Linked DNA regions of Xenopus tropicalis. The protein of the gene in region 1 purifies or fractionates together with the protein of each later gene. This does not show direct contact. Links are inferred from orthologs where the notes say so. Each region holds a gene or a part of one and is shown on either strand. Other genes may lie near its edges.

Region 1 (4,381 bases):
CCCTAATACACCTATCACTGTAATCTGTTCCTTCAAAAAGTATAAACAAATACCATTTTTATATGCTGAAATCCAGCTTCAAAACAGTTACCTTTCTGCATCATTTGAAATCCTGGTGGGAGAGGAGGGACTAAAACATTGATGTTACAAATAGTAACAAGTTCTCAACAGCTTACAGACAGCATGCAAGAACTACATAACCCACAATGCACTGCACTATGATGTACCATTGCTTACTGACATCACGTCGGCAGGGGATTGTGGGATTTGGAGGTTGCAGGTTAAGAACAGTCGACTACTTTAACAGCCCAATAGGCTTGTTTTGCCTCCAGTAAGGATTAAATTATATCTTAATTGGGATCAAGTACAAGGTACTGATTTATAATTACAGAGAAAAGAATTACAAATTAGAATTATTTGCATATAATGGAGTCTATGGGAGTTGGCCTTTCCGTAATCCGGAACTTTCTGGATAATGGGTTTCCAGGTAAGGGATCCCATACCTGTATATTAAAAATCATGAAATTGCTGCATATTTTTTAATTGATGTATATTACAAAGTTACTCTTTAAAACGCTTAAGTTGTGTTTGGGTGGAGTTCCACCTTAAGTTGCAAAAGCAACCTGAAATAATAAAGTCATCAAACAGTACATAAGAGTGAAAGTTAAGAGCAATTTCACTCAGTTATCTTAACCCCTTTGTGGTCAAGTGGTAAACAGAGATGTCACCTGCCCTTCCAAAGTAGACTGTGTACAGGGGCTTTTTTATGAACACTGGCCAGTAACCTATGGCAACCACATTTTTGCTTTTCATTGTTCAATCTGCAGTCATGGATTGGTTGCTATGGGTTACTGCCCATGTGGAAATCTGCCCACTGTTTATACATGTTTACTGTTTATATACATAAGATGTCTACAGTCTAAGAATAAAGTATACAAAGGCACATTTAAGCCCACATGTCCAGCCTGTGAACCTCCTGCTGTTCAACTACTACTCCCTATACTCCAGCAGACTTTATCTGGGAGTCTGGACTAAAGGTGGCCATACACCGTAAGATCCGATATTCTCTCGATAGGCCCCCTACGAGTGGGTGATATTGGGCTAATTCAACTTAGGGCCAAACAATTGAATTAGAATGGTGGGCATAGGCACCATCAGTTCAGAGACTGCATAAACGAGCCGACACGGTCCCCAATTCAATGTAAATATCAAACCTGCCCGATTTCAAGTCAGATGTCAGTTGGGGCCTGTTGTTGGTGCCCATGCATGGGCAGATAAGCTGCCAAATCAGTCTAAAGGACCAATATTGGCAGCTAAAATTGCCCAGTGCATGGACACCTTAAGATTCATAATAGGCCCTGGTATTTGACATACACGGAGGCCCAATCCCCTCCACTGGCCCAATAAATAGTGACTGTCTACCACACCTTACTGCAGCCCCTCTGGCATTTGCCAGAATCTACAGAATTGCCAGATGGTATGGTTATAGGTTAGCATTAGTGATTACACCTAGTAAGCTTGCTGTGTTGGCATGCAGGTGTGAAGGTTATTTAAAGGAATGCCGTTGCTTAAAGTGTATTGTCATATTATAAATACACGTTCCCTTTCATTTCCCTAGGGACATTTTTCATTTTCCCTAGGTAGCAGCCTAGCTGGTTGTAAGCATAGTAGTTTTTAAGCTCCTGCCATAGACCCCCTTCAAGCCTCATGTAAGCAAGGTATTTACTTTATTTACAGGAGGTGAGATTGATAGAAATGCCTAGAGCTGGTCTGAGTGATGTCTGAAGCCATTTTGCAACGCTCTTATTTGCGTTGCATGCGCCCCCCTCCAAGGGCAGAATTTCTGAATATAGGCACTCTTCATTTAACAGAAAAGTGTGGAATTGCTGCAAATAGCCTTAACCTATGGAGACAACTGCATAGAAACTGCTTTTCTGCTTCAAGTGATACCAGTAAGTTATGTGCCTGGTGTAAAGCTGCTGTACTGCGTGTTGCATGTATTACCATTTCCATAGCCACAGGCCATGGTTTTACTTGGGTTAGGGATGCCCAACCCCTGGCAGACTGTTCCTGCTGAACTACACCATTCTGACCTGCTGGCTGATATGTGCAGACATAGCTCACAGCAGCTGGAGGGGTGCAGAAGAGCAGACGTTCCATATGTGATTGCTGACACACAATGATGATGGAATGAATGGAGGACTCACATCAACATCCAGCTGTTGTACTACACCTCCCCCAACTGAACAGCTGGATGTTGGCCATGCCCGATATCTGTATACAGAGAATATACAACAGAATCATGCCATACAGGTTTTTATTGTATAATAGTCCAATAGGACCAGCCCAGGATACAATACCAGGGGGAGAGAGCAATGGGTATTGCCCAGCGCTGTCTGTAAGCCCCAGGTAAGTACCTAAGTTAAGCCTCGCACTGTCGCTGCCCGGCTACACGGCTGAACGGTACAACACGTTCCTCCCAAAGTTTGCGAATGACCCCCAAGCTTCCGCCAATCAGCAGCGCCCCTTGTCTCCCACATCACTGTCCCTGTCTCCCACAATGAAGCCGGGGCACCCCATTATTCGCACAGTGCCAGCAGCAGCACCTCACACAGCCAATGAATGGGAAGGGCCGAGGAGGGGTGGGAGGCAGCGAGTTGTACTCACCTTCCTGCGCGAAATACACCGTGCGCCCACCGAAAGCTGCTCGCTAGCAGGAATTGAGTGAAGGCTCTTACCGAGCGGTACTGTGCGCAGCCAGCGACCAAACCCCGCCAAAAACAACCCACTAGACGCATGCGCAACACCGCCCTCCAGCCTAAAGGAATGCCCCTCCTCGGGTACACACTATGCCCAGTCCGTGCCATACTGCAGCCTAACCATTCACCAGAATTCATAACCAAAGGTTGAGGCCCTATAAAATGTAATTTCAATGGCTAGAACCAAATCTGCCCGAACTTCTATAAAACGAGCACCGGGCCAGTACGGAAATCTCTGTATAAAATATGCACACCGATAATCACTCGCCCAATGAGAAAACGGGGCGTACCAGCACCTCACTTAGGCCGGACAAAAGGACTGACTAAACGTACCCGATTTCTTTTCCCCTCCTCCTCAACGTCTTAACCAATCGCTGAAGTTAAACGTCACGCTAGTTGCCCAATCGACGATGCCTACGCAGACAGCGACCAATTAGGAGGCAAGTGGGCGTATTCTGGCGCACTAAATATACATTGCCATTGCGCTATAATCCCCCACTCTTCCTTCCTGTCGCTTCTCTTTTGTTTCTGCTGTTGTTGAGTTAACATCGGGGAGAGTCACCATGCACAAGTCCGAGGTAAGGCCTAGCGCCAGTGCATAATGCATTCGGTTCTTTTTATCATAGTCGTTTAGTTTTACGCCTTCTAGTTATGGGCATAAGTATCAGTAGGAGTGTTGGCGCCTTTTTGGGCCAGGTTTTTTTTTGTATGCTGTATATATGAGAGTGCTACGGTAGGTCAGGCTATATTAGATAACGACTAAATTATGTGAATAACATGTAGGCCCTGGCTGGGGATTTTCTTTAGACGCCGAGCTGGAAGCTTTGCGTAGAGTTCCTTTGTCTGACTCCATTTTGTGCGCTCCACCCTGCGAGGCGCTATGGTACCGCCTATTTTCTACTCGCTTAATGGCGGCGCTGTGGCCCGTAGCTGGAAGGCGCCTTTTCTCTAACGCCACACATGATTAGGCCTCTCCTTAATACATATTAGATATTCTCTAGCAATAAATAAAAGAATACCTCTCTCTCGGATACCGTACAAATTGGTAACAGAAAGGCAAACTTATTCCCGGATTTGTAAAAACGCGTGTTTTCAGCTTCGATGTTCAGGCTAACAATATACTTATTATTCTCGCTATTTATGGCTTCTACACATTCAACTTAAATGAAACCTGTTCCTATAGAAAAAAATGACCCTTATGGTATCGCGGTGGGGGAGGGGAAACTGGTGATTCACCATTTTGGTGAATGGGTTGGTTAGGCCTAACCAGTGCACTTCCCCCACCTAGAGGCTTGGGTTGGTTAGGCCTAACCAGTGCACTTCCCCCACCTAGAGGCTTGGCTGCTAACTTTGCCCAATTAGCGAGTCTCCTTTTTAATCACTGGGCAAGTTTGCACCTAGGCAGTAACCCATAGCAACACATCAGTGGTAGTTTCACCATTCCTGCTGCTGGCTGAACAAAGGCCAAACATCTCGTTGGTTGCTATAGATTATTGCTTAAGTGCAAGATAGGCTTTATTTTAAATTTTTTTTATTTTTTTTGTGGTTTGGGTAGAGGGTGAAATTAATAGGAAAGGGTCTTATAGTAGATGAAGAAAAATAATCCTTTGTGCCTGTCCCTT
Region 2 (4,496 bases), on another chromosome or scaffold:
CAATCCCACAAAACTAGGGGACAATATAGGAACTGAGACTGTACTTGCTGGTGGGTCTGGATTATTCTGATCAGCAATCAAGATATGTGTTGGTGCCCACTATATTCCTGGATGAACTGGATTTTTTTCTGTATTACCTTTCCTTCTTCACTGATGAACTTTATCAATTGCTTGTATGTGTTAAGCTGTTGATTGGGACATTCATGATTTTATTAAATTTTGTATAATCTTCTTTAATTGTGAGTACAATTTTAAGTAATATATAATTTTATTTTTTTGTTTTTTTAATATACTGGTTGGTGATGGTAACTGTTGGTTTATTGCATTAAATATATACTTGAACTGTACTTTATTATATTTAAGTCAGTTTATGAATATGTATCACGTAAAGATCCACTGAACATTATAGGCTGGGTGGGGCATTGTTTAGACAACACATAAAAGACTGCAACACAGTGGAGCTGACGGCAAACACTGGAATTAAATAAAAGGCTTGAAGTCAGATTAATCATGTTTAGGGTTATTGGTCCTTTGAATTAAGTTGTCTTCATTTTTCAATAATTTCAATTAATTTTTCAATCAATTCAATCAAATGCTTAAATACATTTGCCTATTTTTTTTTATAATAAATAGGCCTGTTGGTAGTGCCCATACAGATGCGCTGCTAAATTGGTCTGAAATTGGCAACTTAAATAGGCATGTGTATTGTTACCTTTAGTCTAGAAAATCAGAAGCCCCAAGAATAGAAGGGCAATGGCAAACCAAAACTACTTTAGTTGAAAGAAAATATTCCAGGTCCCCAAACATACCATGAAATAGGGTCCTGATTGTATCAGAGAATGACTTTAATGCTTGGCTGTTGACCATAGAAAGCAGCTAATTGGCTTTGAGGGCACCTATATGCACAATGGGTTACTAACTAGCAATCAGTTCTGCTAAAGGTGCTGATGCTTTGCAACTGCCAGAGGGATGCTGTGGTACCTACTATATTGGCACCATAATACCTAGCTAAGGGATTTTACTTGTCATTTGTTAGATCCTCAAGAACTACAGTGACCACTGGCTGGAAGATGTCACCTCCCTCCAAAGAGACCATTGTAAATTGGCAGTCCTTGGCAGCCATTACTGTGGCCAACTTAGTTTCCCAATGAGCCTCTTTCCACAGAAGTGTAACTCATGGGATGCTTACTTCTTGCTCCTGATATAGTGCCAGTAGCAATGAAATTGGCACCCAGTCAGGGAGCTGCCCTACCAATCTCTTCCCTCCACACCACCCAAACCACATGGCTGCAGCACTGAGAACCCAGCACCACGTGACCAAACCCATAATAGTGCCGGTGGCGAAGGGATACCAAGAACACCGCGCATTCCCACTGTAATTTTTCTGTCTTTGAAGTATCCGTCCGCAAAAGGCGCCCCCTAGCGGTGAGAGGGAGATTATCTTGGTGACCCGATTTTCTCTTTCACCCCCAAATTCCTGCTGGACAAGATCCCCTTTGTGCATGCCCATCTCCCCGGTCCCCAGGTGCGCGGCTGCAGTGGAGTATTTGTTTTTTCCCGGGCTCCCGCCAGCTCCGGACAATGAGTCCCCCCACCCCTCCTTCATGCTAATGAGCGCTGACGTCACTTCCGCTCCTTCGCGGCCGCCATTTTGGCCAGGGCAGGATCGGAGCCGCTGCCGCCGCCGTGCTGTATTGTCTGCAGGAGGAGGAAGTGCACCCGGCGGAGTCACAGCTGCAGCCACCGGCACCGGGAACTGACTCCACCCCCTTCCCACACACAAACACGGGGCTCATGCTCAGGCGCATTGCCTGGCACCCCCATATCCCAAGGGGCCATAGGCTGCCCACCGCCTCGGGCTGACAAGCAACCCCCCGGCTCAGGTATGTCTGGGGCCGTGAGCGGCGTAATGGTTACAGGGTGGGTATGTTGGGGTGCATCTTCTCATGAAGTCGGAGTGCCTAACGTGAGGTAGAACTAGAACTCCCAGATCCCCCCTATAGAGGATGATGGGATTTATAGTTCAGGAATTGGGGGGGGTGACAGGGGGTAGAGCAGAGCTAGTTACGGATAATAAAGTTACTGGTGGTGTGAGGAACAGATGGAAGTTATTAAGGATTGGGGAGACACTGAGGGCTGCAGGAAGTGCGGGGCACAATGGAGTTGGTGGAAGTGCAGAGAGTGTGAGGGACACAAATAGGGGATGGAGATAGTGTGGGGACAGATAGGCAGGCTGATGGGCCCAGTGGGCAGGGGGCATACCTGGCTATTGTACTGAGCACTCACATCTGTGCCGGGCAGCTCTGATTGGATGCGGATAATGATGGTTGTGGGGACAGACTTGTTACTTTGGGTGTAGGGATGGGGGAGGTGCCAGTATGAGTCCTGTTGCCCCCATTGCCACTAGCTGGGGTGCCCCAATGGGATGTGTGGGTGGGCACCCTGCTGCTGGGGAGTTCCAGCCTGACATGCAGTGCCGGTGGGAGCTCGGCTAGAGGGGTGCCGGGCATGGAGGGGCACAGGATCCGGCTGTGGGTGCAGCGGGGGGCATGGGGTTGGCGCTGCCATGCTACATAAATAGAACTTCGTATTGCGTGCAGTTATGAAGCCGGAGGGCCGTACCTCGGGCATCCCAGTGGCATGAAGGCAAAGGGTTAATATATGGGAGGGGGTGGGGATAGGGGCTGCCCCCACCCTCCCTTGTCTGGCTGCTTCTGCTGCAAAAAGGCGCGATCCTGTAGGAGGAACCTTTAAACCAGCATGCTCCCCTCTCCCCAGGTACACATGGGCTGGCCGGCGCTAGGGTTTAGCGGCAGGTGGGCTGCACCACTCCCCGTAGTGGGGGTCCATCACAAAGGCGCTCGATCCGAACTGCTGCCGGTGTTTTCCTGCGCTGCACATGGCCTGCTGTCACAGTGATGGCTTCGCATTAGTCATGCACTTTAGCGCTGTTTGTTTTCTCTATTTGCACGGCTGCGAGCTGTGGCAGGGGGGAAAAAGGGGAATAAAAAAAATAACAGGCAGCCTCCACCCAAGATGCACTGCAGCTAGAAAATGGCGCCTCACATTCCAGTAGGGGGCGCTTGCTGTGCGCCGGGTAAGGCGCTGGGGTGGGGGGATGGGTAGACTGAAGCAAAACTGGAAGCTGCTGCACAGCGCCTCCTATAGGTTTGGGAGTGGAATGCGGCAGGGCCCATGACAGCAGCATTATGCACTGCTTGTGCAGAGAGCCAGTGATTCACTCCCACATTCCCTAGGCCCCTCTGGTGCTTCTAGGTGCAGGCTCTAACTTATCCCTTGTTTGTTCAGGTTTTGCCCATCACTAGTGTAGAGCATGGATGCACTGCTTGGGACCTTCTGAGTGCTACAGTTCCCAGCATCTCTGCTAAAGGCTGCTAGTGATGGTTCAGCAACACCTTAAAAACTATACTTTGGATACCTGGGTATAGCCCCCCTGTCACAAAACTGACTTGTCAAATTGGTGCCTTTTCTTACTCATGGCAATTTACTTTACTCCTTGTGTCCATTAGGGCTATGCACCTCACATCAGATTATGCCAGCTAGTTATTTACCACTAACTTATCCCTTGTTTGTTCAGGTTTTGCCCATCACTAGTGTAGAGCATGGTATAGTGTATTCAATAACAACACCTTACCTTACTTTTAGCATTTTTCGGGTTCAACGTTTTGTGCAACTTGTGCAGAAACAGAACTCCCAAATTATAAAGAGGGTGGCCCTGGGAAGGGGGTGAAACATAACTGAACTGATAGACTAATGTATCAAAGCACTAACCCAGTAAGTGGCACTATAGAGGGGAAGAGTAGAATCAGAGGGTACTGTAGTTTTTAAGAAAATACCATGTGCTTAAAATTCAATCATTTTCTCTCTACAGGTGGATAAATTCATTGGCACTTACACTTTTTCCTTGGATTCCTATCTGCAGCACCTTGCACTGTGTGGGACATACAGCAACAAACTGGCGCTCGGATCATCATTTCAATCTTCCTTAACTTTATTTTGACATAAAAGGTTTGTTTTCATTTCTCCTTTCTACCTCTAAGCTTTTAGAAAAGAAGGATGGTAGTAAGGACTGTGTTTTTGCATGGCATGTTAGAGGACCCTGGAACCCATGGAGTGAAGTGTCTTTAGTAACCATCATTATTTATCAACTGTGTAACCATGCTTTAAAGTTAATTACTACTGAAAAACAGTTCTTTTGACTAATAAAAGAAAATATAACTTAACTTTTCAAAATACATGCATTCCTGATTTCATTAGTTTTAAAAGTTATGTGTAAATGTTATTAATGTTGAAAGCTGTATGTGTTGATCCATTTTTGTTCTGCGTCAGCCATCCTGCAGGTCTGTTACCAGCTAGTTTCTGCCACGTTTTTACATATGATAACCAGTAGTGCAGAGAATATAAACAGTCTGGTGTTGCCTGTGATAAGTTATGTTTTAACATAAAGGAGACACATACAAAGCAGAGTAAAATCA
Region 3 (3,708 bases), about 40 Mb from region 1:
TGCTGTCAGTCAGACAGTGTACACTGCACCAGTGTATGGCCACTTTTAGACTAATGTCATTTGTAGTTAATTCTCTTACGGTAGCATGTGAAAAGAGCTGCTTCTTTTAGGTTTCAGCATTTCCTCAAACTGCATTCATAAACAAATCACAAGCAGGTGAATATGGATTATCAAAAGTCGCACCAAGCATAGGTTGTATTATGACAACTTTTACAGCTATGAAGTCTTCAGTTGCATTTTGTACCTTTGCTGCCATAAAGATCCACTTAGTTGATTCAACACTGGTTGAAGTTACTGCAATATGCACGTTACTTGCTTGGTTCCAAGTACTTATTTTCATCTAGCTAATTGAAGAATCACAATAGCTTGCTGGATCATGAGTAAATGTGCATGTGTGTGGTGGGACTGATTTGAAATTTACAGTCTGTTAATGGTATGGGGTATGTACTGAAATTTAGGATTTTTTTTCAATTAACTGTGATCCTCAAGTATGAATTTGACTATTTTGGTGTTTCCAATTTTATTTTAAGAAGTGAACTCTGGGGGGTATATAACGAGCCAAAGTCACCAAGTAAAGAAGAGCCCTGTGAAGTCTTTAAAGCAAGAAGGTGTTCAGTGGAACTGATAAGTAAGTTAAAACAAAAATGCTCTAAAAATTGTTGAGTCATTGTTCAAAATTAAAAACGAATATGTTATTCTTTTTACACTACTCTATTCAGCTAGAATGGGAAGTACCAACTGCACATGGGACCTGAATGGACTCCATGTGTGTAGAATTGAAAAAGGGGGCATTGTAAAGGAGAAAATGTGGTAAAGGGAGCTTTTTACAATAAATGGGGAAGCCAGTTCATTGGTTCATTATATAAATTGCATTACATATTAAACATAATCCCTAAGACTATGGTTTTTCTTAATCTATGTATATAGAGACTGACTTTTTCCCAGCTTTACTACATGCCCCATCCAGCCAAGGGAGAGAATTTGGCCCATCTGATGAATCACAAGGCTGAGGGATTTTACTGTTCCTGTAAAGAATGTTAAAGTATAACTTTTCTTTTCTTTAAAAGGAATTCAAGAAACAATTCAGCAAAGTAAAGCGTGTAGAGATGTTAGTAATACAAGCAATTCATCCCTAAAAGAAACGAACAGTAGAAGGAGTTATTACGAACAAGTTACGAGTGGGAGTTCTCAAAAGGAACCTGAACAAGAAACTGTAAGAACCATATTGAGCAGAGTGTGTTTAAAAAAACTTGTACAATAAAAAAGCATTAAGGGTCACTTTTTAACTTTGGAGGCATAACACTCTCACACCATTGTGCTCCTAAATGCCTAGGTCTATAGACTGGAGGGTTTACAACTGCAAATTTGGATGCCCTGCCTTATGACCAATTAAAATGATATTTAGGATGAATGATATTGCTCTGAAATAACTATATTTGGGAAGATATGAGTATATAATCCATTGCAGTGTAATGACCCTTGGTAATCCTCATGAAATGGCACAGAGTTTAGTTTTTGGGTTGAACCCAAAAAGTCTTAAAACCTCTGGTTGACATTCTGTACATAATTTAGCTCTGATATCATAATCACTGTTCTTGAAAAAAAACTGTATTTGTATTGAGTCTTTTTATAACATTTTAACTACGGAACTTATAGCACTAGTGAATTCTGTATTATCTGTTTATCTCTAGAAAAGTCCTGTGAATATGATTTCTTCTCCAAGTAAAAGCAAACGTGATAGAACATACTGCCAAAAACTTGCAGAACAGATGCATAATAAATCAAGTTTACTGCCAGAACAGGATTCTGTCTGTGTGAATGCCTCTCCTCTGGAAGAAAATTTGCACTTATCTACAGATTCACCCAACATTGGAAGTGTTTCTACATTGAAGAGCAACAGTGGCACCACATTAACTGGTGATATTTCTGGCAGTCCTAATTTAGTTAAGCATACATCAAATAATGTACAGTTGTTCAAAAGAAATGTGAAAACCCATATCTCCAATAAAGCAACTCCATCTTCATCTGAACCAAGTAAGAATTGTACTAACATTGGTATTGTGTCTGTTACAACTGTGACCAGGATTTGTCATGCAAAAACTAGAGAATGTAATTTATTTTACCATTTATGTGGGAGGTAGTATACAGTTAGGGGCAGATTTATTAACATTCTGATTTTTGTGGTTTTAGAGGTTTTTGAAACCACACACATCTACCAAAAATGTCTACTCATTTATTAAAACATCTAAATCAAAAAAGCATGAACAAATTAAAATGCGGAACATAAACAAAATAACAAATTTTCCATAGTTTTTACATTTTTTTACAAATCTTTGTGGATCTTTGTAAAAAAAACTGAAAACCTCTAAAACCACAAATTAAATAAAGATTTTTACAATTTGCCTAGGACAACTCCCATCAACTTCTACATGACCACAACAGATTTTAGATGATGATTTAGATAATGATTTTGTATTTCTGTTTTTCTTGCCTTACTTGCCTTAATCATACAAAAGTATGCAGGATATGCTCCTGTTTTTATGATCATGCCAAAATGTGATAGAAAATTCTTTCTATGCAGATGTTCACAGAAAAGAAATTTTGCTTGCACATTTAAGAATTATTTGTACTTATCAAGCCATTCTGACTTGGGAAGACTGCTTGAATCTAGCTTCTCACTGGAACTGCCATTAACAAGTTTATGCCAATGAACTAACAGGCTTCTTTCTTTTAGAAAGATACTGGGAAGCATTCCGTTTTCTTTCCTTTACATACACTGTCCACACTGAGTATCTTTATTTTCAATTGGCTATCCGAAATTAATTACCGTATTTTTCGCCGTATAAGACGCACTTTTTCTTCCCCAAAATGGGGGGGGAAAAGTTGGTGCGTCTTATACGACAAATATACGGTACAAATATATGCACACATCCCCCGTGAATGGAGGTGAGCACGGGCGCGCATGGACACATGTCCGTTCAATCGCGCATACCTCCCCCGTACCTCCCTCCACTTGTCCTGCCGACACTTGAGCTGAAGCTGAAGATGTAACGCGCACGCACTCACCTCCGTCCACAGGGGGGCGGGGTGCGTGCGTGTTACATCTTCAGCTCAAGATCACCGCACGGCCAATCACAAGTTGCTCAGTACAACCCAGTCGCGCTGCATTTTGGGATATGTAGTTCTAAGGAGGCGATTGGGCACGGATGGGCTTGTCATGAGTGGCAGTCTCTGGCCGTTCTGGGGAAGCAGGATGGGACCAGCAAGGGGCAAGTCATTGGTGAGTAGGAGTGGAAGTGTAGTGGCCATTGTAACTGTGTAATAAGAGTGTAAGCTCTTCGGGACAAGCCATTAGTTAAGTACAAGTAACCCCTTTCCCTGCCTACCAGCGCCTATGCACCAAGTAAGTCCTTTTCACACTGCCTTTTGCAGTATTTGGTTCAGAATCTTTTTTTTCTAGATATTCCTCCTTTAAAATTGGGTGCGTCTTATATGGCGAAAAATACGAATATGAAAATATGAATTTTTTATTCAATGACTTTATCAATGCAACTCTGAAAGAGGTATATGATTATACATTTATGTCAATGTTATACAAATGTCTTAGAAAATTTATTTGAAAATATACTTTCATTTCAGGGGTGACACAAGCACTGGGAGGGTTTAATCTGCCTTCTGGGAGGAAAGGACACTAAAAAGACATAGGCT
Region 4 (4,506 bases), about 34 Mb from region 1:
GTTGAAAAAAGACCAGTGTCCATCAAGTTCAACCCATCCAAGTAAACCCAGCACACCTAACCCACACCTACCAATCTATACACTCGCATACATAAACTATAAATACAACCACTAGTACTAACTGTAGATATTAGTATCACAATAGCCTTGGATATTCTGATTGATCAAGAACTCATCCAGGCCCCTCTTAAAGGCATTAACAAAATCTGCCATTACCACATCTCTTGGAAGGGCATTCCACAACCTCACTGCCCTCACCGTGAAAAACCACCTACGCTGCTTCAAATGGAAGCTCCGTTCCTCTAATCTAAAGGGGTGACCTCTGGTGCGTTAATTGTTTTTATGGGAAAAAAGAACATCCCCCAACTGCCTATAATCCCCTCTAATGTACTTGTACAGAGTAATCATGTCCCCTCGCAAGCGCCTCTTTTCCAGAGAAAACAACCTCAACCTCGACAGTCTCACCTCATAGTTTAAATCTTCCATCCCCTTGCAAAAGTGAGCCACTTAAAGGAAAAGTAACACTAACATTTTTAAAGTAAAAAATCTATTCTACCCTGCCCTAATAATTGCCCTATCCTGCACACCATTTATACGATAGCAGGTATTTTAGGTATGCAATTGCAGCATTTGCTTGAGGAGTGTTGGGCCTATACATGTGTTGCTGTTGGGCCCTCAGTTAACAATTTTACTAAACTTTCTTTATGGAAATCTTGTTCCCATCATTCGCCTGAGGAAGATGTGTTACCCCCAAGGCCTCAGTATAAAGATCTGTGTCATATTAATGCACAACCACTGGGGGCTCTTCACCTCTATGTGCCAAAAGGAGTCTTTTTACCTAAGATTTCATCATTTCATCTGACTCTAGTTTGCATAAAAACTCTTTCCTTCTTGGTCAAATTGGTAAAAAGGCTCTGATGACGGCAGGCACTTCTGGCAGGAAACAAATGTCTTGGAAGCTCCTGACACCACCACAAAAAAGACTAAAAAGATTACTGTAGGTACCCATTAGACTCTCCTAAAGGCCATACATTGTCCCAAATTGTGAAAAATACTGTCCTTGTCTTTAAATACTGGAGCAGAACTCAAAATATCAATGTCTAGGTAACTTGGCGACAGCCAGTGTGGGCCAAGTCATTCCTGAAACAGTGGAAACTGGGCCAGCATGGTACTGAAGGTGGTTTACTTGGTCAGTTTCTTATTCGTGCCTTGAAGTTGTTTTGTTCCTGAATTGTGAAAATTCTGCCCATTGTGTGTGTGGAACCATCAAAGTATAATTAAACTAAAAAAAGTGACTTCATTTCAACCACCCCCAGTTTGCACAAAAATAAAGTTTTCTTTTTCTGTCAAATTAACAGAAGAGGCTCCGACAGCACCATGTACAGATGGCAACCAGAAATAAATAAAATATATATATATATTTCTTTTGTTCCCTAGCAAAAAGCGTAACTCTAAGCAAAAATATAAATGGCTATATTGGGAGTGCATGGCGAACAACCAACATGAAACAAAAGTTTGTTTTTCTATTATTTGTTTTCTAACAAAAGAAGGCGGTACGACCACGGTGTCAAAGTTACGCAGTCTCCGCTAGTCACTTGCGCAATGCGGCTACGTGATGCGTCACTGCGCTTACGTGAAGTCGTGATGCCAGTCTCGCGTGATGAGACGGGATTTGGCGTCGGGATTTTCCGCAAGAGAGGCGGCCAGGAGCTTGCAGTTACCAGCTTTGTGGTAGGTGTAAGTAGCGATCTTGGACTGTTGTTATAGGAAAATAGGTGTGTGTGTTGGGCAGTCTGCACTTATTTGGGCTAGTTTGACCCCTTTCGCTTAGAGAGCTGCAGACTCCGTAAGGGGCAGGAGCTTAGAGTGCAATATGCATGCATGTTCTTTCCCTTACACAGCTTTCAGTAATGCTCTTTTTGTCACGGAGGTTTTAGCCCCGTAGAGCTGCACAGGACTGGGTGGGTGGGAATGCGATTCTATCGGGCTAAAACCTAGCTGCTTGGGTTAGAGAGATGTTTTCTATTAGTAATTACATCCTTAGACACTGGTTTGTAATTAAGCACAGAAAATAGGGACATAAAATCTAAAATACTAGTAAAATGGGGTAAAAGAAAGGACAGGAAAGTAGTGATTACCTTTTTAGCAATGTTTTTTCGTCTCCATAAGGGCCTGGTACAGATTTGCAATGTATCTGCAATGCATCTCAATGTAATAGAGATGTCCCCTTCTGTGGTGATCCTACCTGCCATTCTCATGTGCCTCAGTGCCGAGAGATGCAAACCATTGTCATTCTCATGTGACACAGTAGTTTTATTTTCTCAAAACATAAGGACTGTACACAGTGTGTATACAAGTACATTATCCCATTTATTCATTGTTTGAAAACATGTGACAGACTCCAAATAAAGCTCGATTACAAAAATGTATATTATATGTAATAAAGAGTGGCGTGGCGATCTGACCATCGGTTGCACGAAACATCGTCAGATCCGCCACACACCATTCAGGGCTGAATCGGCAGGTAAGGAGGTAGAAACAATAGGATTTCTACCTCCTTCTGCCGATTCAGCGCTGAAGGGAGATTTTGGTCAGGCGCCTTCTATGGCGCCTGATCAAAATTTTCAAACTGGTCCAATCGGCAAGTCGTCCGATATCAGCAGCTTCCTGCGATATCGGTCGACTCGCCAACATACCATACACGCACCGAATATCGTACGAAACGAGGTTTCGTATGATATTATCTGTGCGTGTATGGCTACCTTTACAGGTGCATTACAGTATAATTCATGCAATAGTAAAGTACTTTGTTTTTTATAATAACCTGATGATTTGTTTTCATTAGAAAAGTGGAGGTAAGATTAAATCAGGAAAAAATGCTCAAAAAAGCCACAATTCCTGTATGGCATGCAGTTATCTGTGCACGTGCAAAGTGCAGTGTCCTGGCATGCGGGATAATCTGTGAATTTACTTGCTCTGTATCCTGTATCCCCCAGGTATGGTACTTGGACTACATGCATTGTGGGCTGGTCACTTAGGAGGAACCCTGGAAGCATAGTTTTGGTTGCATGTTGGGGCAGGGGTGCGGTATTTTATTTGGCAGCCCTATTGTTACTTTTATATATATATATATATGAAGACAAGGCATATAAAATTGCACACAGTAAGGCATCATATTTATTTGCACAGTGTTTTATGGATCAAATACATTAAAATGGAACCCTACATAGAAATAGGGTATTTTCCCCCGTTAATGATGATTGTGATTTTTTTCTGACAATGTTTTCTTGTAATACTATACACAGTAGGCTTATAAAAGACAACAGCCTGTAAAATAATCTGAAAAAAACTTCTAACAGTGCCTAAGGATATGAGTTTGAATCAGTTTTGGTGATGTGGGATGTGTATTACATACGCCATACCTTTTGTCCACAGGCTCTTGTCTCTATATGGTTGTGGAACTCCTTGGCAAATTCTAATATCCTTACTTTTTTAACAGAGGGTACACCATTCCCTCTGTTAATTAATGCAAGTAGCATTAATTAACAAGTCATTCTCTTGTAACCCCCCCCCACTTCATTGGTGCACGCCATATATTGATATATATAAATTTGTGTGGACCTTGAGACCTGGGAGGACCCGTAGCTAAGCATTCGGCTCACATCGGTGACGTCACCGAAAGAAGGGAATCCGTGCTGTGCCGTGTGAAGGAGCTCGATCCTCCCAGTGTTTAGACCCACAGTAAGTTCCCGGCCGGGACAGAGGGTATTCTAGCTAACACCTGTAGGGTGTGGGGGATCTATTCAGCACCAGGTTAAGGTCTAGGAGGTGCCTGTACTTATATTGTAGCCTTTGGTGATACCTCACATTGCAAGCGCCACATGTTAGGGTGCATACACGAGTGTTTGCCCTTATAATCTTATTGGACAGTTTCCTTCCTAATTGGGTGTCCGTTTGGGAGTGAGCTCCCCAACTGGGGCCTTTTTTTCCCCATATTATTGCTGTATCCTTCGATTAGGCAGTTATGAAGTCGCAACTTTTCACTTAATTATAGACTGGGCATTTATGTAGTAATCCATCCCCTCCTGTGCTTAGTGTAGCAGTCTGTTACAGATTTATCCAGTATATCTGATTCATTTGGTAGTTCTTTTGCCTACCTTTTAACCAACTGATCTTATGTATATGTATTTTTAGTAATGCCAACGTTTAGTTTTTTTTAACCTATCCTCATATGAATTAATATATTGTTCCTATTTCATCCTCCATTGAACTGATAGGTTTAGTCACATTTCTCCATTTTAGCTTTTCAATTGAATTTCTGATTTTCACTTTATGTATTGTAATTATTTATATTTTTTAATACAAGGTTTATGTATTTATGTGAGATTATTTTTATTGTAATGAATTATTGTATGATTAAACACTAATAGATTGATATAAATTTATACACTTGGTAGTTTGTTTTTTGAGCGCCAACTCCGTTTCTTATTAATTAATGCAAGTAGC
Region 5 (3,708 bases), about 68 Mb from region 1:
TATTGGTCTTTCACGTGGAATTCCAATAAAATTGATTCATGTTTGTGGCTGTAATGTGACAAAATGTGGAAAAGTTCAAGGGGGCCGAATACTTTTGCAAGCCACTGTATGTATAATAATATATATATATATATATATATATATATATATATAATTCTTCTCGAAGGCACTCACCACTTACAAGGCATACGCCGGGTGCTCACCAAATCAAATACATATACTGTACATAGAAGGCACTCACGGCTCCAAGTAGTTCAAAGAGTAACATAATTTATTGCTCCACACTCATATATATATATATATATATATATATATATATATATATATATATATATACCTTAAAAAGACAAACGTCACCGCACTCATCCCATAGTGTAAATTCCGGTGCTCAGCAACTTCAGGATACCGTCATGTCCCTCCACAATAGATACAGTTGAAAAAGATGCGGCACACATTATTTGCAAAAGAAGGAATCACAAAAGGTATTATGTGATGTGATTCCTTTTTTTTTTTTATACACACACACATATATATATATATATATATATATATATATATATATATATATATATCCAAAAAAGACCAGCAACACCGAGTTATGTTCCAAAAACAATCAATTGTGTATTAAAAACGCATGAACAGCCAACGTTACGTTTCGGTCCCCATCGGGACCTTTCTCAAGGCAACCATGCTAACCAACCCCATGTTCTACTTATCCATAGTGAACCAGCAAAACGTTGGCTGTTCATGCGTTTTTAATACACAATTGATTGTTTTTGGAACATAACTCGGTGTTGCTGGTCTTTTTTGGATATTTAAATCATTTACCTTGCACCCGAGCTAAGAGGCACTCTGCTTCAGCTCTATATATATATATATATATATATATGTAAAAAAAAATATACACACACCCAAATCAATTAGCACTTATAGCCATAGGTTTTTCTAGCCAATGATAATGATAATTTCAAATTTTCTCTGTTCACAGAGACACCAAATACAGCGGAAGAAGTACAAAACTGCAGAGTAAGTATACAGCAGTCAAATGTCAAATTTGCTTTTCATCCATTTGCTTTTCATTTCCTTGATGTGGGACATCTTAGGATGCCCATTATTCAGTCCCTTAAAACCTCATAATGAATAAGGTTAATTCAACTATTGTATACATGAGGAAGTCAGTCTCTGGCCAACTAGTTTTTTCCCTAATGTATTTCCCCTAGAAAGTTTGTGCAACTGCTCTGTATTCCATAGAATCCGTCACTACATTTTATATATGTATTGTACATTCACTTTTAATTTATTTTTATATTTGTTCATTAGATTCCTCTTTGGCCCATCCGGAACCCAATCTCTCCTCTTCACAAGAAGATAATTCACGTCCTCCACGTAATGAGGCCTGGAGCCGTGCCAACAAGCCACTCTGCCGCCCATCAGTAGGCCCCCCCAGACTGGGAGTAGATGGAATCATTGCTTTGTTGAAGAGCAAGTGCGGTAATGGACGCGTGAACCTACAGCCTGTAGTGAGGTTGATGGACATCATGAAAGATCTCAGCCAACTGTCTAGTGATCTACAATCTAGTGGTGTACGTTTGGATTGCACCCATGTTGCAAGCTCCCCTTCAGAGTCAGAAAATGCAGAACCAGGATTACAATATAGTTTCTTCTCATCTCAGAGTTTGGCATGTGGTCTGAGAAGCCCAGAGGAAAAGCCATCTGAGACTGTCGAGAAAGAGCCAGTTCCTGTTTCTCCCAACCCAGACTCCATGGAGTCTGCCAGTTCAGAGGTCTTGAGAGAACTAGCAGCTCTAGCCTGGATGGAACCTCAACAAACAGAGAGCAAAGGGGAGATAGAGGAGAGGATTGAAAGGAGACTGGAAAAGGTGGAAGAAACTAGAGGCCAAAATGAAGAGACATCAAAGGAACTTGACCATAGTGAAATGGAAGATGTGGGGCCTAGAGAGGAAAAGATCACTAAACAGGAAGATGATGAGTCAGGTGAGGAACCAGATGAAAGTAAACATGAGGATGAATCAGGGGAGGAACAAGATGGAAGTAAACAGGAAGATGATTCTGGAGAGGAGCAAGAAGACCTTAAACAAGGAGAGGAATCATCGGGAGATGATCAGGAAGAGAATAAACAAGACGAGGACTCATCTGAGGAAGATCAGGGGGAAAGTAAACAGGATGAAGAATCATCTGAGGATGAGCAGGACGAAGGGGCTGGGGACAATGAGGCAGAAGACCCAACAGATGGCAAAATGAATGAACAGGGTGATATAACATTAGTCCAGGAAAATCAACTTAATTTGAAAGATATGGGGGTAGCAAGCCTAGATGCAGATTTGAAAGAACAATCATCTGATGAGGAAAGCAGGGAAGATGAAAGCAAACAAGAAGAAGAGAAAACAGTAGAAAGGGAAGTACTCATGGAGACACAAATGGAGCAGTTGCCCTGGATGCTCCCGCTCTTTTCTCCTTCGGTTGATAACATCAGAAGAATCTCCTTTTCTCACCGTGGTAGATTTGGTCACAGAGGACGCAGGGGTGATAGGCCTGGTAGAGGACGGCGAAGAAGACCAGGTAGGCCACGAGCTTCAGAGAGCCTTTCAAGGGCATATGTGATGCCACCCTATCACCGAACCCCTGAAGAGCCAAGGGCATATCGGCTCCATGAGCAAAGCTTACATTTTACACACTCCATTAACAACCCCCCCTCCATGGAAACACCTAAAGAAGAAGGCCCCCCCAAAAAGCCAAAACGCAAGGGAGTTCGCAAGATGGTGGTTCGGATTGCAAAAATCCCCATGCCTGTGGGTAGAAGAAACAAAACAAGTTACAAAGTGTCTTCTTTCAGCAGTACATTGAGTGTGGAAGGAGGAGAACTGATAGGTGGGTCTGGCCCTGGTCCTACATCACTTCTCAAAATGAAGAATAATGGGCGCAATGTTGTCATGGTGTTTCCACCTGGTGAACTCCCCATCATACTTAAAAGGAGGAGAGGAAGGCCTCCAAAGAACCTTGTGTTAGCACGTGAAACCCCTCCAATGCTGCCCCAGCCACCCCCCAAAGAACCTGCAGCACTGCCACCTCCAACTTCCCAGCCTCCCACACCATTACCAGAGGGTGAAATGGTCAAGAAGCGGCGGCGAAGGAAACAGAAACTTCCATCTCCCCAGCCATCATATGTGGCAGATGCCAATGACAGCAAGTCTGAATATAGTGATGTGCTGGCAAAGCTTGCTTTCTTAAACAGACAAAGTCAAACAGCTGGGCGCAATTCACCTCCCCGCTGCTGGACTCCAACTTTGCCAGAATCTGTTCACCAAGCCCCTGACACTCACAGCATTTCACAGTTTCTGCACAGAGTGCAAGGTTACCGCAGGCGAGGTGGGCGTGGAGGTGGCCCAGGTCGGCGAGGAGGATGTAACAGCCATAACCCAGAGTTGTCCCGTTGTTCCTTCAGTGACTTCTTTGAGGGTATTGGTAAGAAGAAGACCAAAGCAAGGCCTGTTGACCCTCTAAAGCCACGGAAACGGAGACAGCCGCGAGCTGAGCCAGATCCCAATGCTAAGCCCAAGCGCAAGAGGAGATCACGTAAGAATGGTGCTCTTCTTGGTGAAATGGGTGGAGAGGGAAGTTTAGGCTATCAAGGCACATCTGAATGGGGACCTGAAGGTAAAGGAACACCATGGCCGGGTCAGCTTTCTC
Region 6 (4,432 bases), on another chromosome or scaffold:
ATATTTTTCATGGCAAACTATGCATGCCACAGGCCCCTTCCTGACCCTGGATTTCACTTTGGAAAGCTGGTAATCTTACAAATTAGCCTTACTTATAGACACCCTCTCTTAAAGGTGAAGGACAACCCTAGGACTACCTGCTCATCTGTTCTGAACACAATTCTAAAATTAGCAGAGATAACAGAAAGCTTTTGAACTTCACTGAGTCTTCAACATTATAAAATAATGATTGTAACTGATATTGTAACTCTTCTGTGGCAGTATGAGCAATTCTCTTCATACACATTTGAAGAAGTCCAAATATCTTGATTAAAGTGCTCATGCATTTAGAAAAGGAAACCTTTAAAAATACATACCATAGGGTAATGTGTATAATAGTTGTACCCTGTAATTAGCATTTTTTCAGATTGAGTTGTATTAAAGGTGAGGTATGGCCACCTCAGTCACAATGCTGTACTTGTTACATAAAAATTTCATATTAAGCAATATTACATTAAATTAACATCTCAACGTTATTTGCTCTTAATTCATTTAAGAATCTAACACATATATAGAAAGTACAGGGCACTGAAATAACCCATGAAACCACCTAAATTATTACTTATGTGTTTCTGCTTGTACTAACCTTGCAAAGACCAAGTGTTGATTAGTTTCTAAAGGTCACTGAACCAGGCTAAATCTGCCCATATTATAACATAAAGAAATATTACTTTTTATGTGATCTCTTATGTATTTAGTGTGTTGCTTCTGAGCCAAGTTCTCATAAAACAGAAGAGGCATAAGTTGTTTACATTATAATCCTTTAATAAAGCATGGATCAAAAAAGAATGTTTAAACTGTACACAGAAACTAAAGGGTCTCAATATAGGCTTTAATAGGGGCCTCAAAATCCTTTTCTAAAAGATATTATGGATTCTTACCATAAACATATTCATGAAGGTCTACTGATAGGAGAGCAACAGGACATCCCTAATGTATGTTACATTCATAGTTAAAATCCATAAAGTCCATTAGAAAGGAGAAATGTTGGTTTAGATGGTGCTACAACTAAACCCATGCCACTAGGGTGATAATAGTCCAGTCCTGGAATTAATACATTCTAATTCTTCTTTACTCTGAATGGTAACATAAAATGTCTGGAGTGGATCACTATCACCCTAATGACATGAGGTTAGGTGGCATCTTTGCTATAGTGCAGCCACTTGTCTTTATGTGGAGATGGACTAATATGACTGTCATCCTTTAATGAATATAAAGAATGGCTAGAAATACTGTTATTTTTATTATTTTGAAAGAATGTAAACATCTTGTTAGGAATGAGTCATCTTGTACTTCTTGCTTGCCTCTGCAGCTATTTGCAAAATAGCTCTTCTATATAACCAGATTATTTCTCAGGAGAAGACTTCAAAATACTTATCAGATTCTGTGAAAAGCCATTTTAAGTAACAAAAAACCCCAGAAAGCATTGGGGTAAAAAAAAAAAATGCTTCTAGTAAATGTGGGTTAGTGTCTGCTCTTGCAACGACCAGCGGGAGGTGTGTGTTGTGGAAAAGCTGTGTGGACAGTGCAAAATGATTTAAAGTAATCAGTAGAACTTAGCAAGCTTCATTTTGTGCAAATCATGGAGGAACCTCGCTGAACGGCTGTGACACGAGGTTCTCTCAGAACATATGACCATTGGATTGTGAAGGCAACAACTTTCCACAAGAAGCTCTTCCTTCACTTGCTCCACCTCCTGTTATTGTTAAAGAGGGGTCAGGTTGCGTGCCTCAGCCTTAAACTTTGGGCACTTTAGCCTTATCACCTTGCCCACCACTAGTTAGACCTCGGCCCACGCTTCTCCTGGTTGCCCAGGGCTGCTGAGGCTTTGTGTGGTGTCTCCTGGAGCATATGGGCTTCCATTGTATGGCTGCACGTTGCTGCAGATAGAAAGGCTTCGCGCACCCCCTGGTGCTCTCGCGTTCTGTGTGGTAGGAGATTGTCCTCTCTCGCTCTCTCCCTCTCCCTTCTGGTTGCTCATTATTCAGAGAGGGAGAGACACACACACATACTCAGTGAGAGAGAGAGAGAGAGACGGATCTTTCAGGTCATCTGCAGCTGCAGAGCAGCAGCAGCAGCCAGTGAAGGAGAAAGAGGAGGAGAAAAAAAAGCAGGGAAGATGGCGATCCTCCATTGCTGAGACCTGGCAAGAGCACGAGAGTCAACAAACAACTTGAGACAGAAAAGGCACCATCTCCACTGCGCGTTACCACAAGGCGACGGCACGCTAAACCCTAGCGAGTACATAGAGATTGGAAGGGGACAAGGAGCAGGACAAGGAAGAGGCTGGAGCTGCAGCGTCCCGGGCACTAGTCTGTAAGTTCTCGCATTGGACTCTCCTACGCTAATGGCCATTGTTCACTCGTTGTTTTAATATCTCTGGGTTTAATGTCTTCGCTGGCTGCGAAAAGTCCTATGGTTTGCGTTACCGGGGTCAATTATTACTGTTGAGTGAAGGGGTGGGAAGACTCTCATGAGCGTTTTGCTGTCTGGAGAAGAAAGGAGGTGGTGGTGGTGGATATGGTAGTAGGAGGAGGAGAAGGGCGGCTAATTAATGAATCCATTAATTGACCCCCTTCGTCAGCCCAAACACCCCCAAGTGGTGGAGATTAAAAGGAACCGGAGGATTAAATAAATTATAAAAAAAGAGGGGGGGGGGGAAGCGACTGGCAATGTTTGCATGCACTTGCTTGTGGAGAGTTTGATCAGAAGCTGGGGAGAGACCAATACCCGCACAGGGGGAGGAATTACAACATTACTGAGCTTGGTGGCTGCACGACCCAAGCAATAGGGTGACCTCTTTCTATCAGTTTGTAACCAACCCCCTTCCTCCCCAGTTCTAGAGGTCTCCTGTCACCCCCCCCCCCTCCCTCTTGAGCTGAGATGACATGGAAGGTTGAATTCTGGGTCGGAATCTCTTGTCTAGGAGGGAGGGATAGGAGGAGGGGGAGGTTGTCGCTTAGCTCCAGGCTGGTATTTCTGTAGGGTTCGCCTGGAGGAGGAGAACAAATTCTATTCCCTGTGGTTTTAACTGAATTTAGAATCATAAATGTAGCCAATAACACTTCCTGCCCGCTTTCATTTGGCCTCAGAAAGAACATGCCCACATGCTCAGAGTCCAAAGAAGTCCCTGCTCTGCCCTTTGATCTCATTGGCTGTCATTATCTCCCTGTCCTCCATTTTCAGGCTGTCTGGGTTGGTTTGTGTCCAGACTCCAAAGCACAAAGCTTCTCTAGCATACACCCTAGCCAAGCTTTCTCTGGTAACATTCCTCTCTTCATTGTAGCTTACTGTACTCAGCTCAACAGCAGCATAAGGCTAGACAACAGAAGTGTATTTCATGTCTTTTTATGAGAAGAGCCTTCAAGCTGGGGGTTTCCTTCAGCTTTTTTTCTTCTCTGTGTGGTTTCAGTAGACTGATTTCATGTTTTAAGAGGAAGTGGCTACAGTAGTTGTTGCAGAATGCTGTTATCTGAGTCAGGTAAGCCATGTCATGCTGTAGCTCCACCAGAAAATGGAGGAGAGCAGGATCTGAAGTAGACAAAATGAGGTGGTGACAAACAACAGTATCATGGATCTTTATCATCCTAGTGGCTTGCATAAAACATTACTTCTCAATAGAATTTATTTTTCATGTTGTGTAACACGTAGCCAGAAGATTGTGTAGGAATATTTTGGAAGTCAGCAGCTTATTTTTTCAGCATGTATTAAGATTCTTTTTGGTGGTCATCATCAAACTTCTCATATTATGATCAATTATCTGTACTAAATGTGATGTTTAAAAGCCTTAATGAGTTGTTAATGATGTTGAAGTTGAGGGTATTGGTATATGTGTACAGTGAGCAAGAAATATGATGTATGCCCAGGTAATATATATAAATATGGGCATATTTTTATCCTCGGTTGATCTCAGAACCTGATGATTGTGCATAAAATGTTAAATTATCCAGAATGCCCCTTGAAAACTTGATCCAAGGTATAGTGATATGAACATTGCTTTAGCAACACAAGTATGTTATAGAAATGCAGATAGTGGAATTCAATGTAACATGAATTTGATAGCATAGTAAATTTCAGGTGGACACTCTCCTCTTCATCTACAGTTGTATGTGGTAATACTCAATAGTGATGGGTGGGTCAGAAAAAACTCAATTCACACCCAACCCTAACCTTCAAAACCTTAACCTACACCCATCCCACAAAATGTTGCCATTGTAGGACCCAACCCATAAAATGTTGCCATTATAGCACCTACACCCAACCTTCTTCATTTGTTACTTCTGCCTGCAGCTCTGGTTCCAAGACAGGGATTTTTTTTGGAGCATACTTCCCCACAATATTTGCTCAAATTAGTTTTGGGTCAACACGCACATCCCTAATACTAAGCCATTGT
Region 7 (3,708 bases), about 130 Mb from region 1:
ATGGCTAGAAACCTGCCATCACTGGACCTGTGGCACAGGCAAACACAGGGTGAAACCCCAAGTACAGAAACTAGAACTGATAACATGGAGAAAATATAGGTTTGAAATCAGATGGTCAATTTTTCTTCCTTTCCTGGAAGCTTTCAGACCGGTAACTATAGAAACTAAAATTTTACTACGGGCTGGTTAACCTTTAAATTGACTTTTAGCATGACTGATATTTGGTGACAATTTGCAATTGGTTTTCATTTTTTATGGTCTTGTTTATTTAGCAGTTTGTTTAAATGTACTCCAGTTAGGATTTTCAGCAGCTATCTGGTTGTTAGGGTCTTGTTTACCTTAGCAGCCAGTTAGTGGGTTAGGGTGGCAGTGGCTAAGAGATAGATCTCTGCTATCACGGGTGACTACCACTCCGAAACAGCTTTTCACCAGCAACAATAGGAGTCACCGGTGGAAAGCTTTGAATATGAAAAGGAGAGTAAAATGATAAGTAATAATAATAGTAAAATTGCAGCCTTACTGCAAAGATGTACAAGAGGGAAGCAAATAATACAAAATATAAAGACCAATTGCAAAGTTACTAGGAATAGAACATTCTATAACATACTAAAAGTTAACATTAAGGGGTGAAGCACCCTTTTAATGGGGGTGTTCAATGTAGCACCCTATAAGCTCAAGGTCTTTTGGGTGCTTGGAAGGACATGTAGGAAACTGTAGTACCTGCCCCTATACATTGGTCATATTCAGAGTTTCTCAGTCAGTAAAACATGTAACCTAGGGGCTGGGTATGGTATAGGCAGGGAGCCTTTAGTGCCCTGATATGATAATCTGTACATGTACATACCATGAAATATCGCTCAGTGTGTGATAGTGCACATTAGACACGTAGCCAAAAGGGAACAGCTGCTGTGTATCATAGAATAGAACAGCGTCTTCTGAGGCGACAGCAAACACCATACGGTATGGCTGGGTGATGAGACCCTGCGGTTGGGACTCCCCAGAATCATCTTTTTAAAAAATAAATAATAATAATTTAATTTCATGTTATTGACATTTTCCCCTCCCGGTTCCTGGGATAAGAGGTTTAATCTCTGGATGTCCCAGCATGCTTTGTGATGCTCCCTAGGATCATACCTTTTACAGTTGGTCTCAGCTCAAAGTAAATAGGACAGCAGCGCACAGCCAGGGTGGCCTTTGTTGGGCAGGGGAGATGTGCCATTGGTCTAGGGAGATAAAGAAAGAAATATATCAGAAGACAAGGGGCTCATTCAGCTGGGCAACCCTTCTGATATTGTTGCTGGGAGGATGCTGGCAATCACAGGTTATACATCCAGGAACTTACCGCTTTAGGTTCTTCCTAGAGAAGACGTACGTGGTGTTAATGACCGACTCCCCGGATTCCACGCAGCCAGCTGAAAGCAAGAGCACAGAGCTAAGCTGAACGCAACACTGACACTGAATTGCTTCCCCTGCTGCTTTTGTGCAGTTGCACAACTTCCAGCTGTCTGGGCCTGTGACCACCCTTAACTAAGGATCATGGGAGTAAAAATTTAGCAACAACTAGTTTGCATATCTGTGTACTTATTTGCCTGCTGAAAAATGCTGGCAGAGAATATGCCCATGGTGTTTGCTACAGAAACCCTACTATAGTTTATATAAATACCCCGCTGTGTAGCCCCGGGGGCAGTCAATCCTGCACTGGTACAGCTGGGGTGTTTGCTACAGAAACCCTACTAAAGTTTATATAAATACCCCGCTGTGTAGCCCCGGGGGCAGCCATTCCTGCACTGGTACAGCTGGGGTGTTTGCTACAGAAACCCTACTATAGTTTATATAAATACCCCGCTGTGTAGCCCCAGGGGCAGCCATTCCTGCACTGGTACAGCTGGGGTGTTTGCTACAGAAACCCTACTATAGTTTATATAAATACCCTGCTTGTGTAGCCCTGGGGCAGCCATTCAAGCCGGAAAAAAGAAGAAATGGCACAGGTTACATAGCAGATACCAGATAAGCTCTGTAGAATACAATGGGAATCTATGCAACGCATCTGTTATCTGCTATGTAACCTGTGCCTTTTCTCCTTTTTTCAAATTGAATGGCTGCCCCCGGGGCTACACAGCAGCTTTGTTTATATAAACTATAGTAGGGATTCTGAGGCACACACACAACTTTTACCAGTGCAGGGCAACTTTGTTTATATAAACTGCAGCCACGCGTTACCATGCAACAGAATGTGTAACCATGAAGCCGGACTCATTAGCAGCTTGTGACTACCAGCCTGGACTGGGACTAAAAACAGACCCTGGCATTTTAAGTACATGGAGGCCAAAACAGCACTCCCCAGCCCAATAAATAGTGACTGTCTACGGCATCATACAGCAGCCCCTCTGGCATTTGCCAGAACCCACAGATTGCTGGTCCTTGAAGAGGGTATCTATTCTCAGATATAATTGCACTAGAACAGAATAATGAATGCTACTTGGGGAGAGGGGGAGCATCCCATAGAGAATGACATGGCAGGTGTGGGACACATAGAGAGGCACAGGGTACAAACCTGGGGTTATAAGCAGAGATCCATCAGGAGTGAAAGTCAATCTCCTAAAGAAGGACTTCATGCTGTCATCATGGTACATGCGGAAACTTTTTACCTGCCATGAAAACAAAACTAATGAATAATTCTGACACGCCCCAGGGGGGAGACAAAGACTAAAATATATAAGATCTATGTGAGCCAATCATGCAAGGATACTGCTAATCGGCCACTAATCAGAGCACATATGTTACAAAGGTGAAATCAGTGCAAGTCTGAAGCTGGCCCATACATTGCAAGATCTGCTTGTCTGCCGAGGCCACCAAACAAGCAAATCGTTCTCCAATATGCCCACCCTGGGTTGGGTGGTATTGGGTTGATCCAATTGTCTGACCTTGGATCATAATTGCTGCTATGCTGATATCTGTGCACTTTGATTTTTCCCGCTGGATTGAGGACTGTATGTGTGCATTGATGTGGTCCTTGATCCAATGGGAAAATCAAACTGCCCAGATATCGACTGAATAGGCCCATTGAAGGGCCCCGTACTCAGTCCATAGGCTGCTTTTATCAGCCCTTGTAGAGCCACGTGTAGGCACAGAATAGTCTGTAGAAGCCAAAACGGGCACAGAGGGAATAAAGGCAATACCTCTCCGTCAGCGCCAGGAGCAGACGCCATCTTGCTCACGTTATAAGCAACTCTCTTGGTCTCCGTCTTGTAAACTCGCATTATCCTGAAACACAATCACATGAGTGAGGAACTGCACAGAATTGGCTGCCATTCACCAACCCAAGACCATTTTAACCATAATTAGGTAAATCCTTTATTTAAAGGACAACTCCAGCATAAGAAAATACAATTCTAAGCAACGTTCCATTACGCATTTTCATTGGTTTTATATTGATGTGGAAATGTAATTGCCAGTGAAAGCAGAGGCTGCCTGCCCCTTTCTTTTCTCTGGTTCTGACACTGAAACAATGTAGCAGAAGTCAGTTTTTCTTGCAGCTTCATTAAGCAGCTGGCTTCTGCTACATTGTTTTAGGGGTTAGAGCCAGCAGTGCAGAAAATGTCACACAGATACTGCTTGTAATATCAGTTATATTTACATATAATGACTTGGATTAAGTATATTGGAGAGTTGCTGCATGATGAATTTTTAATATTGCCTATAAAGTGA

The links.
Region 2: the proteins of cbx5 (region 1) and adnp purify together in Homo sapiens (affinity purification with mass spectrometry; 4 studies listed by BioGRID and IntAct, with this or other methods). This does not show direct contact. The link is inferred for Xenopus tropicalis from reciprocal best matches to the Homo sapiens genes CBX5 and ADNP.
Region 3: the proteins of cbx5 (region 1) and senp7 purify together in Homo sapiens (affinity purification with mass spectrometry; 3 studies listed by BioGRID and IntAct, with this or other methods). This does not show direct contact. The link is inferred for Xenopus tropicalis from reciprocal best matches to the Homo sapiens genes CBX5 and SENP7.
Region 4: the proteins of cbx5 (region 1) and champ1 purify together in Homo sapiens (affinity purification with mass spectrometry; 6 studies listed by BioGRID and IntAct, with this or other methods). This does not show direct contact. The link is inferred for Xenopus tropicalis from reciprocal best matches to the Homo sapiens genes CBX5 and CHAMP1.
Region 5: the proteins of cbx5 (region 1) and ahdc1 purify together in Homo sapiens (affinity purification with mass spectrometry; 3 studies listed by BioGRID and IntAct, with this or other methods). This does not show direct contact. The link is inferred for Xenopus tropicalis from reciprocal best matches to the Homo sapiens genes CBX5 and AHDC1.
Region 6: the proteins of cbx5 (region 1) and znf462 purify together in Homo sapiens (affinity purification with mass spectrometry; 3 studies listed by BioGRID and IntAct, counting the BioPlex papers as one, with this or other methods). This does not show direct contact. The link is inferred for Xenopus tropicalis from reciprocal best matches to the Homo sapiens genes CBX5 and ZNF462.
Region 7: the proteins of cbx5 (region 1) and chaf1b purify together in Homo sapiens (affinity purification with mass spectrometry; 8 studies listed by BioGRID and IntAct, with this or other methods). This does not show direct contact. The link is inferred for Xenopus tropicalis from reciprocal best matches to the Homo sapiens genes CBX5 and CHAF1B.

The regions. Positions count from the first base shown.
Region 1 is NC_030678.2:145,616,215-145,620,595, reverse strand, and holds the start of cbx5 (chromobox protein homolog 5), read right to left. Parts: upstream 2,814-4,381; 5' UTR 2,668-2,813; intron 1-2,667. Other genes in the region: hnrnpa1 (heterogeneous nuclear ribonucleoprotein A1), read left to right, coding at 3,323-3,337. UniProt on the Homo sapiens protein: Component of heterochromatin that recognizes and binds histone H3 tails methylated at 'Lys-9' (H3K9me), leading to epigenetic repression. In contrast, it is excluded from chromatin when 'Tyr-41' of histone H3 is phosphorylated (H3Y41ph).
Region 2 is NC_030686.2:35,649,432-35,653,927, forward strand, and holds the start of adnp (activity-dependent neuroprotector homeobox protein), read left to right. Parts: upstream 1-1,554; 5' UTR 1,555-1,883; intron 1,884-2,680; exon of another isoform or gene 2,681-2,778; intron 2,779-3,892; 5' UTR 3,893-4,029; intron 4,030-4,496.
Region 3 is NC_030678.2:105,170,020-105,173,727, forward strand, and holds part of senp7 (sentrin-specific protease 7), read left to right. Parts: intron 1-530; coding exon 531-628; intron 629-1,067; coding exon 1,068-1,213; intron 1,214-1,691; coding exon 1,692-2,034; intron 2,035-3,708. UniProt on the Homo sapiens protein: Protease that acts as a positive regulator of the cGAS-STING pathway by catalyzing desumoylation of CGAS. Desumoylation of CGAS promotes DNA-binding activity of CGAS, subsequent oligomerization and activation.
Region 4 is NC_030678.2:111,847,620-111,852,125, forward strand, and holds the start of champ1 (chromosome alignment-maintaining phosphoprotein 1), read left to right. Parts: upstream 1-1,608; 5' UTR 1,609-1,737; intron 1,738-4,506. UniProt on the Homo sapiens protein: Required for proper alignment of chromosomes at metaphase and their accurate segregation during mitosis. Involved in the maintenance of spindle microtubules attachment to the kinetochore during sister chromatid biorientation.
Region 5 is NC_030678.2:78,101,188-78,104,895, reverse strand, and holds part of ahdc1 (AT-hook DNA-binding motif-containing protein 1), read left to right. Parts: intron 1-988; coding exon 989-1,026; intron 1,027-1,320; coding exon 1,321-3,708. UniProt on the Homo sapiens protein: Transcription factor required for the proper patterning of the epidermis, which plays a key role in early epithelial morphogenesis. Directly binds promoter and enhancer regions and acts by maintaining local enhancer-promoter chromatin architecture.
Region 6 is NC_030677.2:120,584,313-120,588,744, forward strand, and holds the start of znf462 (zinc finger protein 462), read left to right. Parts: upstream 1-1,480; 5' UTR 1,481-2,355; intron 2,356-4,432. UniProt on the Homo sapiens protein: Zinc finger nuclear factor involved in transcription by regulating chromatin structure and organization. Involved in the pluripotency and differentiation of embryonic stem cells by regulating SOX2, POU5F1/OCT4, and NANOG.
Region 7 is NC_030678.2:12,925,861-12,929,568, forward strand, and holds part of chaf1b (chromatin assembly factor 1 subunit B), read right to left. Parts: intron 3,265-3,708; coding exon 3,180-3,264; intron 2,649-3,179; coding exon 2,555-2,648; intron 1,413-2,554; coding exon 1,343-1,412; intron 1,224-1,342; coding exon 1,135-1,223; intron 1,008-1,134; coding exon 845-1,007; intron 28-844; coding exon 1-27. UniProt on the Homo sapiens protein: Acts as a component of the histone chaperone complex chromatin assembly factor 1 (CAF-1), which assembles histone octamers onto DNA during replication and repair.